Linked DNA regions of Mus musculus. The protein of the gene in region 2 purifies or fractionates together with the protein of the main gene of each other region. This does not show direct contact. Links are inferred from orthologs where the notes say so. Each region holds a gene or a part of one and is shown on either strand. Other genes may lie near its edges.

Evidence for each region. Proteins that work in one complex are often made in the same cells at the same time.
Region 1: the proteins of Pagr1a (region 2) and Ncoa6 purify together in Homo sapiens (affinity purification with mass spectrometry; 3 studies listed by BioGRID and IntAct, with this or other methods). This does not show direct contact. The link is inferred for Mus musculus from reciprocal best matches to the Homo sapiens genes PAGR1 and NCOA6.
Region 3: the proteins of Pagr1a (region 2) and Paxip1 purify together in Homo sapiens (affinity purification with mass spectrometry; 6 studies listed by BioGRID and IntAct, with this or other methods). This does not show direct contact. The link is inferred for Mus musculus from reciprocal best matches to the Homo sapiens genes PAGR1 and PAXIP1.

The regions. Positions count from the first base shown.
Region 1 is NC_000068.7:155,409,784-155,413,283, forward strand, and holds part of Ncoa6 (nuclear receptor coactivator 6), read right to left. Parts: intron 1,864-3,500; coding exon 1,742-1,863; intron 1-1,741. UniProt on the Homo sapiens protein: Nuclear receptor coactivator that directly binds nuclear receptors and stimulates the transcriptional activities in a hormone-dependent fashion. Coactivates expression in an agonist- and AF2-dependent manner.
Region 2 is NC_000073.6:127,014,553-127,018,549, forward strand, and holds Pagr1a (PAXIP1-associated glutamate-rich protein 1A), read right to left. Parts: upstream 2,801-3,997; 5' UTR 2,370-2,800; coding exon 1,891-2,369; intron 1,731-1,890; coding exon 1,648-1,730; intron 918-1,647; coding exon 718-917; 3' UTR 499-717; downstream 1-498. UniProt on the Homo sapiens protein: Its association with the histone methyltransferase MLL2/MLL3 complex is suggesting a role in epigenetic transcriptional activation. However, in association with PAXIP1/PTIP is proposed to function at least in part independently of the MLL2/MLL3 complex.
Region 3 is NC_000071.6:27,743,066-27,746,550, forward strand, and holds part of Paxip1 (PAX-interacting protein 1), read right to left. Parts: intron 1,491-3,485; coding exon 1,356-1,490; intron 1,268-1,355; coding exon 1,192-1,267; intron 1,111-1,191; coding exon 1,050-1,110; coding exon of another isoform or gene 989-1,049; exon of another isoform or gene 1-988.

The sequences.
Region 1 (3,500 bases), on a different chromosome or scaffold from region 2:
TGAACTGCTAACCCTGCTGCCTCCACCCTGCAAATGCTGGGAATACAGTTTTGAAGGTTTTCTTTAAAATCCTTTTGTTTTGTTTTAGGTCCGAGTCACTTGTTGATACTTATAAATTTGGCATTCCAACAGGTCAAACGTAACAGGTTCTTATATACTTTGGGGTTCCAACATTAAGAAAAGTGTAATTTTTGGAAAAGTTCGTTTGTGTCAGGGTGCTAGCACAGATGCCTCTCAGATCTTTAAATGAGTTTATCAGACAGCATAGTAAATACAAAGACAAGTAATAGGATGACAAGGCAGCCTCTCAAAAGCAAGAGCTAAAGGCTCAGCTGTTACAAAGGGTCCAGAAGCTGGAGGAATCAGTCCGAAGGGGCTTAGTGCTAAGAAGACAGACTGGGATAGATGGCTGAGAGGAAAGCCAGGTACACACAGTAACTATATGTATTAGTCAAGGGGTACAAAGCCTTGATGCCTTTAGGGGCCAGGCAGATAGTAAAGAGAGAAGTAGACTGCATAGGACAGCAGGGTCCTGCAGACACTGCCCGCCCAACTGCACAGCAGTCACCTATTTCTACAGTCAATTAAACTCAGGGATTTATTTAGACACCACTAGCGATTCAAATCTGTTAAAGGTCAAATTGAGCCTCAGGTTCCCAGTTTGCAGAAAGGAGGCAATAAATGTTTGAAAGAACTCTTTAATCCACGCAAGAGTTATGCCTGAGATAAGAGGATACCTCCCTTCCTGCTCACAATGTCTTCTGAACGTACTCACCCAGGACTGGAGACTAGTAGCTTCAACAGTGCTATTGGCTCACTAGAGATGACTGTAGTATGCTAAGCAATTTGTAATAAATAACATCAAGTCTTGACATCATGATGATGTACTTTTGAAACATATAAATTTATAAATTAAAAGCAGATAAAAGGTTAACTCTAAAAAATAATGTCACTTTCATTAATATGCCAAAGAATAGGTGAAATTACTTAAGAGGAAGAAACAAAGCATTAATTCTCTATATCTATAGGAGAGGGCTTGTGAAACTTTGACTTGAATTCTGGAATAAAGTTATAAGTCATTGTTTAGACCAAGAAAAAAAATGGGTGCAGAGAAATTGTGATATCTGGTCTTGGTGCCATGATACCTGGGTTGGAAAGAATCAATTTCTGATTTTTATAAAACCATGCTCTTTAACATTGAAAAGATAACATTTTATAATCAGTGAAGGGGCTTCAATACTATTGAAACTATTCATTTTAAGCTATTGAGCTGACAGTAATCACATGATTATTGCTTATGTTTTAAAGAGTCAGAATAAATTTTCTTTTACTAAAAAAGTCATCTTGCTTTAAGTCCTAGCAGTAGTTCTCTGCTTTGAAAACGTCTCAGGAAGTAAGAACTGCAGACAAGCAGGATACAGTGAGTAGATCTCTGTACTATCATATTTTATTTTGATGGCAACTAAAACTACAATGCTGACCAAAAAAGGCACTTTGCACTAAGTCTGGTTTGAGGACTAATGAAGAAGACAGTTTAAGCACGTCTGCATGTGTGTGCATTTACATGTACCTATGGACATTATATTTAAGTATTTACTTAACCAATGCAGTGCTTGCACAGTATATTCCTGAAGCAGTCTAGTTAGTAGACAGAGAGCATTATTGTTTGACGGAAGGAAAGAAGCCTTGTAAAGGTGTATATGCAGTGCAAAGTTTATAATTTTAGCTAGTATCTTATTACCTGGTGGCCGGTTTGAAAAGTCTGGCAGTTTGGGGCCTGTGGTGTCCAAGTTGATTCCTTGTTCTCCAGGTAATGACTGTTGATCAACTTCCTCTAGACCAGTTGGACGATTATCTGGGGTGCTAAAACACAAGTAGCACAGATTGAGTAAGCTGTATAAGGAACACAGGAATCTAGTGCAACCTCTTCCTACTTTAAACAACAACAATGTGTTTATATATTGCTCTTACCATTATTTGTATCTTTCTAGTCTGGATTCTTACTAGTGACATAAGAGTAACCTGGCCATTTCATTAAACCTTACAGTTCATTTAATCTTAGCAGTGTCCTTACTCAGTGTCACTCTCTAATTCCTGATACTATGTTTTATATAATGACCTTTGATGTTAGCTTGAGCAGGACTCTGAGCTTCCAGTACTCTGCAGTGTCACTCCTGTGATACCGACTCCAGTGTAGCTATTAATGCAACCCAGATGCCAGGGATTCAGCAGCCTAAGGTAACTTTACATGTCTGCCAACTGGATGGAGACGGTACTCAAACAATAAAGGTGGAAAATACCACAACAAAGCTACTTAGCTTTGCTGTGGAACGAAGACTTGGAGACATTAACCATTGGATTCTTTCTGTAACTTAGAATTCTAGTGGGAAGCCGGGCGTGGTGGCACACGCCTTTAATTCCAGCACTCGGGAGGCAGAGGCAGGCAGATTTCTGAGTTCGAGACCAGCCTGGTCTACAAACTGAGTTCCAGGACAGCCAGGGCTATACAGAGAAACCCTGTCTCAAAAAAACAACCAACCAAACAAACAAACAAAAACCAAAAAATAAAAAATAAAAAAAGAATTCTAGTGGGAAAGAAAAAAATGAAAACATTCTTTTTTTCCTACTCATGCCCACATTTTTGAGGATCCAGTGTGCTTATATTCCTCATTTGGTTTATTTTTTATTCCCATTTGTATCTTCCTTTCCTAAACTAATTTCCCTTTGATTTGATTATGGTCACCCCCTTGTAAACAGTATTTTGTCCCATAACACTCTGTATAGTTTTATAAACCATCAAATTCCTTTAAAAAACAGCACCAGCAGCAGCAGCATAAGACTGGAGAGATGGCTCAGAGGTTATGAGCTATAGCTGCTCTTCCAGAGGATCCAGGTTCAATTCCTAGCATCACCATGGCAGCTCATAACCACCTGTCACTGTAGATCCAGGAGACCTGACACTCTTATCTAGCCTCCGGTAGCATCAGATACAGAAGCATGTGGTGTACAGACACACGCAGCCAAAATACCCACACATAAACAATAAGAGACCCCCCCCCAAGCATTTAACAGGTCCTAAGGACAACCAAATCACTATGCCAATTTGTTCCTTATATAACTTTCCAGTTATTTCAAATTATAAATGAAGATTTTGTGGTATCCTTCACTTAAAAATTTTTTATAGCTAAAACAATGAAAGAAACACTAATAGTCTAAGACAGGTTTCATGGTAAGATAATGGTAGAACTGGAGGTAGGTTAGCTTCCTCCTAAGCCTCTCTTTCTTAGGAGCCCTGCCTGATGCTGTTTAAGACCCTTTTAGAAGTGTGTTGAATCAACAATTCACCAGAAGGCTGGTGAAGACAGCAAAAACATACTAATGGCAAATGAATAAGTATAATTTTATTTCTAGCATACTGAGGGGAATAAGATAATTACTACCATAAAAAATGTTATTTAGGGCTGGTGAAATGGCTCAGTGGGTAAGAGCACCCGACTGCT
Region 2 (3,997 bases):
GTCAGGAATTTCCCTCACCAACACTTGGGATGACTTCCCTAATGGGCTGGGCAGGCAGGGGCGGAGCTTGTGTATTTAAAGGGCCCTGCAACTGGATCTTTTGCTCCTCCAGGCTGCACTGAAGTCACCACAGCTGGGGGCAGTTTCTGAATCAGTGCTAACTGGCGGGTCTGGACCGAGACTAGGAAATCAGAGGATGCAGCAGTAAGGGTGGGGGTGGGGGATGGTGGCTGGCTGAGCCTCTGCCTCTTCTGGCTTCAATATTACAGTGTGGAGGAACACAGCTCTGCCTCTGCCCAAGTGAGAATGCGTGCTTGGGTTGAGCTGCAGTCTCTCCTCTGAGAAGATCACCCGGCATCTTTTTTTTTTTTTGGTTTTTCGAGACAGGGTTTCTGTGTAGCCCTGGCTGTCCTGGAGCTCACTCTGTAAACCAGGCTGGCCTCGAACTCAGAAATCCGCCTGCCTCTGCCTCCTGAGTGCTGGGATTAAAGGCGTGCGCCACCACGCCCAACTCATCGGGCATCTTTTATTAGATTTAGCACATCCAGCTCAAAACTGCGAACAGACACTAAACAGAACACACAGGCACTCTCCTGAGAGGCACTGCGCTGGGAGCCTGAGGCCTTCCCCATTACAAGTTCCCCAGAGCCTGGGTTGGGAAAGGCTGGCCATGCCCAGCACAAAACAGTCTGCACCTGTAGGCAGGAGCAGCACCAGTCAGTACTTCCGCTGTCTGGGAAAGAGACTGTTTCCTGAGGATCGGAGTGGAGGGCTGGTGGGGCTGGGGCCCTCTGAGTCTAAGCTGAAGAGGTCTCTCCCGGTCCGGAGGATTTGCTCCTCTAGTTTCTTATGGCGCTTCATGTCTGAGAGGACCTTATCCAGACGCGCCTCCCGTTTCTGGCTCCGGGCTGAGCTTCCTAAGATGGTAGAAAACATGACAGCATTGAGACGTGAGCCCTCCAAGTGCCCACACTTAGAGATCTTGTTAAATACTCCCTTCTTAGGCCTCAGGGGCACAGAGGAGCTAATGTTTAGGTTTGGGCCACACACAGGATGGCTGGTATTAGACTAAGATACCCATAATGCAATGGCTGGGGAACATAACCATCATGTGCAAAGGTCCTGGGGCAGGGGTAGAGGCCAGAAAACTTAAGACTCTCCGTGGACATGCTCTTCCTCTCTGGAATGGAATCCTCGGGAGTAGTACAAGCTGAGGAAAGACGGGACCTCACTTAAAAGGACTCCTCTGGTTGACAATGGTGGATCTGTACAAGCGGAGCTAATGCAACTTGCTGTTGGCTTGGCCGGCTGCGAGAGAGCTCCAGAATGATTCTAAAAGCATATTCTAGGAAGGCCCACAGGCTGGGATGTCAGGTCAGCTCTGGGCATGAACATAGTACTTCAGAGATGTGTTCAACAAACTTTGAACTTCTGGGAAGGTCTGCGGGGTCCCTGATAGGAAAGTATGGCACTGACCTAAGCCAGAACTATGCTGCTACTGTGTGAATGCTACTGTATGAATGCTCCGTCCCACTGCTGGTCAAGATGATGGCTGAAACCAGCCAAGGCCTCAGACCAGCCCACTTGTGGGCGGGGTAACTAGGGGAGGCCCTTTACCTCCCCTCAGTTCTTCCCTCTCATCCGTACCTGGTGTCCGTCTCCTGTCAATCAGTGAGTCCTTTGGTGTCATTGGCTCATCATCAAAGTCAAATTCTGTAGGCATGTGCGGCCTGAAACAGGGTGGACAGAAAGCCAAGGTTGAGAGAAGCACTCCCTAACACCCGCTGGCACACCCCAGCCCGCCGCCTCATCCTTTCCTGCTCTCCCCTCCCTCCAGGCTCCGTGCTCAGGAGAGCAGTCCCGGGAATAATGTGTAAAGCATGGCCTCACTTTTCCTCCTCCTCTTCTTTGGCCTCTGGCTCCTCGTCTGATCTCTCCTCTTCACTCTGGGCCTCTGGGGTAGGCGGCCGGCGGGGTAGGATCTCTGCTTGAAGCTCCAGAGTACCTTGGGTAGCCAGCAGTTCATAGAGCCGCTGGATCTCGGAGGGTGGGGGCATCCAGGACTGCCCATTGGCCGGCAGCTCCACCTCCTCATCGCTGCAGGGCACGCACCAGTCTTCGGCTTCTCCCTCCGCACGCTCGTCGCTCGCAGCGCTGGGAGCTTCTAGTGCCTCCTCAGGCCTGGATCCCTCACGCCCGGCCTCCTCCTGACTGCCTTTCCCCTCTTCCTCGGCCTTACTAGCCGAGACAGAGGGACCTCCAGTGTCCTCCACCGCCAGAGCTTGGAGGCCGGAAGTCACTTCCCCTTCTTCAGACAGAGGCGCTGCTGTGCTGCCTGCAATGGTTCCATGGCCCAGGGCAAGGGACATAGAGTACTAGAGAAGAAGCCCAGCAATAGAGGAGATTCTAGAGTACCAAACCAGTGCGCCTCACCCGAAAGGCTGGAGAGCCTTTCTAGGTCTAGGAAATCGCCAGTCAGTCCAACAGCTGACTGCGGCCAGAGCACCGTCCCCAGGAGGGGGCGCTCAAACCCCTGCAAGGACAGACCCCACCCCACGGACCCAGAATTCTGCCGTTCCCAGGGACCCGCAGGAAACACGCTCGGAGCTGGAAAGGGAAGGGCCTGTTTTCTCGCTTTCACATCGCCTTCTCCATCACCGGGATGGAAGTCATCTTTTTAGACCGGGCAAACCTAGTTCGCGTCTACTCAGCAGCGGTACAAACCTGGAGCTAAAACCCGCCTCCCAGGCTGCGCAGCATCTCAGTACGCAGGCGCAGAGAAATGGCGCGCGGAGGCTCCGCGGTAGTCAAAGCTACTTGGAAGAGGAAAGAGAAGACTTGCGCATGCGCAATTTGGCCCTTAGGACTCATTAACCTCGGCCCATACTAAAGATGGCCACTGCGGCAGCGCATGCGTATTCCGTTCAGTAGGGCCTGCCAGAAAGCAGTACCTTGACTCTGCAAACACAGGGACCAACTGAGGCCAGTCTCATGCATTCTCTGTTTATTAGTGTTTAAGACTCATGCAGCATTCAGCATACAAAAAGGGAGACTCAGTTTTATTTTTTGAAAAGGAATTTTAGTTTTCCCCCAACTTTTTTTTTTTTTTTTAAAAAAGAAAGGAAACAAACAAAAAACCCCGCCAACTCTGAAATGCATCGCAGCTGGCTCTCTGCCTCCTCAGAGGGCTGTCGCGTGCAACAAACCTCCCTCATCCTCTTAGAGAATAATTACAGAGCTCCCCCACCCTTCCCTTGCTCCCTGCAGCTGGGAACTTTGGTCCTGTTTTTGTTTGTTTGTTTTGTTTTGAATTCTACTGTTTACAAAGCACATAAATAGACCTTCAAACAAGAAACTCTGAGGTTAAAAAGCCCAAACGGGCAGATCAATTCAGGCTGACTCTTCAGGCGCAGCTATGCCCCTTCCTCCCCTGGATGTTCAGAATAAGGACTCTCAGAAGGTCCCCCAGGTGAGGACTCACTTGCCAGCTTTGGGACCCAATAGGCACCTTAGGGGTAGGGGTAGGGTATGGTCTGGGCCTGGGTGGTCCCCAGTAGAGAACAGTCAGAGCCCCCAGCTAGGCTCCTCTCCCCACACCATCCTTCTTCCCTCAGCCTGACCTAAGTACTGCAGTTTTTGCAGACTAAGTGTTGGCAGGAGGGTGAAGACGCTAAGGGGGAGATGAAAAGGGAGAAAGGGTCAGGGGACGTGGCAAGGGGAAAAACGGTGTTAAGGAAGGGGAGAACGGGATGGGTTAGATACCAAGACAATGAACGTTGGGAGGCCAGGGATAAGGTTCAGAGGATTCCAGAGGCAGGAAGAAGTGCAGGGAGGCTGGGAGAGATGCAGAGGTGCAGAGTACAATTTAGATGTTCAGGAAGGCTTCCAGAAGTGCAGAGAGGTTTTCAGAGTGCAGGGTTAGGGAGGTCAAGAGGCAGGAGTGGGGTGGGGGTCTGCAGGCAAAAGTGCAGGGAGAAAGGAAGCCTATGGCTGGCAG
Region 3 (3,485 bases), on a different chromosome or scaffold from region 2:
CTGAGAAGCAGCTCTACCATGTTCTCAAGTGCAAGCAGTGTTAAGAAGAAGTCTGGAGAAGCCTGGAGAAGTCATCAGAGGATGTGCTGTATAAAGACCAGATGCTACAGCACACCTGCCTCCTGTCACTGTCCAGCTCAGTCTGCTTGGAGGAAGATCCCTGCCAGGGACTCCTGCTAGCTCCTACGGCCACCAAGCTATGTCATCTAGCTCTGTTTACTGAGCTCTCGGGGCTAAGAGGAAGTGTTTGGTAAATGCACTCAGCTGGGTGACACCACACAGATGGAGGACCAATAATGACATCACTCTAATCTGGGGGCTTTTCACACATTAAAGTAACCACCTCAGCTGGGCACAGTGGCTCATGCCTGAAATCCTGGCACTCAAGGTGATCCCTATGAAGTCAGCCCAGGCCACAGGGTGCCAGGCCAGCATGCAATAAAGTAAAACCTCCTCTCAAGTATCTGTGCCCTGGGCTGGAGAGATGGCTCAGTGGTTAAGAGCACTGACTGCTCTTCCAGAGGTCTGGAGTTCAATTCCCAGCAACCACATGGTGGCTCACAACCATCTGTAACAAGATTTGATGCCCTCTTCTGGTGTGTCTTAAGACAGCAACAGTGTTCTCATACATATAAATAAAATAAATCTTAAAAAAAAAAGAAAAACAAAATCTGAGTCCTTCTAAAACTAATAGCTGAGATTTAGTGATACAGACTGTAAACTGACAGGCTTCCTCCCTGGGAGCCTGAAAAACCTTAGCTGTTCAACACAGACCCAGCCACATCTGTACCTTAACTATAATGCCATATCAAGCTGTGTCACTTCCCACCTCATGGCTGTGGAGGGTGGAATAGCCCTCAGGCATAGACTCCCATCTTTTTCTATGGGGTCAAACTGTAAAATCCTTCAACACCTATGTAAGCTAAATAGGCAGGTCACCTGTAATAGCAAGGAAAAAGTCTGGAGACCAGAACCATGATGCCCCTTTTTAACTTGCAAATGCGCCTTCAGCCTCACCTGTCCCTGCAATGCGCCTTCGTAAAGGATATGATTCATAGTCCAGTGTCTGTGTGAGTACTCCAGTCAGGACAAACTCCGCATTGTGAACATCTGAAGGAACAGAACCAAAACTGTTAGGACAAGGCCACTGAGAACACTCACAGGTCAGTGTAGAGGTGCACGGAGCCATACCTATTCCCCTGGCAAAGTACTCGCGACATAAGTGCAGGTCGTTCTCACAGGATATTAAAATGATCTCTGAAAGACTCTAGGGAAAGAGAGAATGAGCTCTGAGTGAGGGCGAGGGAGAAGCACCCACAAGGCACAGCACTGGCGTCTCGGGGCTCTGCTCTCACCTTATTCTGCTTGTGCTCCATGAGCTTCCGGAAGGACGGCTGCTTGGCTAGCACCTTTCCCCCTGCACACTCTACAATTGCCTTCATAGTTGCAAGGCTTGGGCAGATGCCAGGGGTGATATAGAAATACTTTGTCTAGAAGTAAACAGAAACATATCTTTTAAATGTTTTTAATTGCATGCAACTTTTCATAAAGCTTTCTTGGGGCTTTGTTTTTTCCAACAGGTTGTCTGTGTAGCTCTAGAATTTCTATATAGAGCAGGCTGGCCATGAAATCCCAGATCTGTCTGACTCTTATCTCAAAATTAAAGTAGAGAACACCTGCTCTACTGAGATTTTATTACAAGATATCTTAATTTTCTAGAACTATGAAGGTTAAGTTCCCCACTAGCTCCCTATCTTCTGCACCCCCACCCCCACAGGGGGGTTAGCTCACAGAGGGGGTTAACTCACAGAAAGCGTCAATCCACAGAGGGGGTTAGCTCAGAGGGGGTTAGCCCACAGAAGGGGCCAGTCCACAGAGGGGGTTAGCTCACAGAGAGGGTTAGCCCACAGAGGGGTTAGCTCACAAAGGGAGTTAGCTCACAGAGTGGGTTAGCCCACAGAAGGGGTTAGCTCACAGAGGGGTTAGTCCACAGAGTGGTTAGCTCACAGAGGGGTTAGCTCACAGAGAGGGTTAGCTCACAGAGGGGGTTAGCCCACAGAGAGGGTTAGCTCACAGAGTGGTTAGCCCACAGAGGGGTTAGCTCACAGAGAGGGTTAGCTCACAGAGGGGTTAGCTCACAGAGGGGTTAGCCCACAGAGAGGGTTAGCTCACAGAGGGGTTAGTTGAACATTTCCCACATGGACCACATGGCCTGTGGTCAGGAAAAATAACTACATTTAGATGCCGTGGTCATTCTGAACACATTTATAACTCAAGAGTCTGAAAAGACATTGGTGTTGCAATAAGGACAAAAAATCAAAACACTTTCCTTGATGTCACTTAACCAAAAGGTTCAGAATTTCAACTCTCTCCCTGTGTCTTCCATCCTCTCCTTTCTATTGTATAAATCTGAATCTGTGCCTGCCTGAAGGGTATCTTGGAAATCTGTCCCTGTCCCCGAGTCTGCTTCTGTCCCTCACAAAGGGTTTTCCTCTCCTCTTTATTGAGCAGCATTAAAAAAAAAAAAAAAAAAAAAAAAACCATCATATACAGAAGGAACAATGATTTCACAGAAATCTTTAGCTGACTCCAACCAATGCCCAATGATCCAGGCAACAGACAGTATTGCTAACATGACTATAGATCAAGCAGTATCCAAATGGTATGTTCAACATTAATGATGGATATTTGTTTCTAAGATAGCTTCCAGCCCATCTGCTGTTTCCAGCAAAGATGATCAGAACACACGTTGAAGCACACAGCTATCACTCTTAGGTCAGGGACACAGAAGAGTACATAATTTAAGTATAGCTATTTAATAGCTTGGGTTGTAAAAGGTGATTACAAGGGAAATCCAAGGCAAGTAAGGTAGATGATACATTGTTTCTTAAAGGCAGGTTAAACAAAATTCTTACATTGGGGGAGAGAATATGCTCTTGTTTCTACAGGAAAAGAAAAACTATGGATTCCATCCAAATTAATAAAAAATCAGATTTGATAGAAGAAGACATCCCCCGCCCCCCAAAGAAAGATCTTAGCTACAGACAGAAAGAAAGAAATCAAGAAGACCAATAGAACAGGTAACAACATCATTTGCTGATTCCTCTACATAGGAACAGCTCTGAACCTGGCTGAGACATAAAGATGTCTCTAACCGGAACTTCAGCTATATATGCATCGCCCATGGACCTTGAGTCCTCAAACTGTTAGGCTAAGAAATACAATAGTCAGTCAAACTCATGGTCATATTGGGTACCAGTTTAGTTAATTACAATAAAATTTTTCAAAGTTATTCAGTATGGTGGTTTGTACATGCTTAGCCCAGGGAGTGGCACTATTAGGAGGTGTGGCTTCTTGGAAGAAGTATGTCACTGTGAGAATGGGCTTTGAGACCTTCCTCCTAGTTGCCTCAGGAGCCAGCCTTGTACTGTTTCACTTTGAAACAAGATGTAGATTTTTCAGCTCCTCTTGCTCCATGCCTGCCT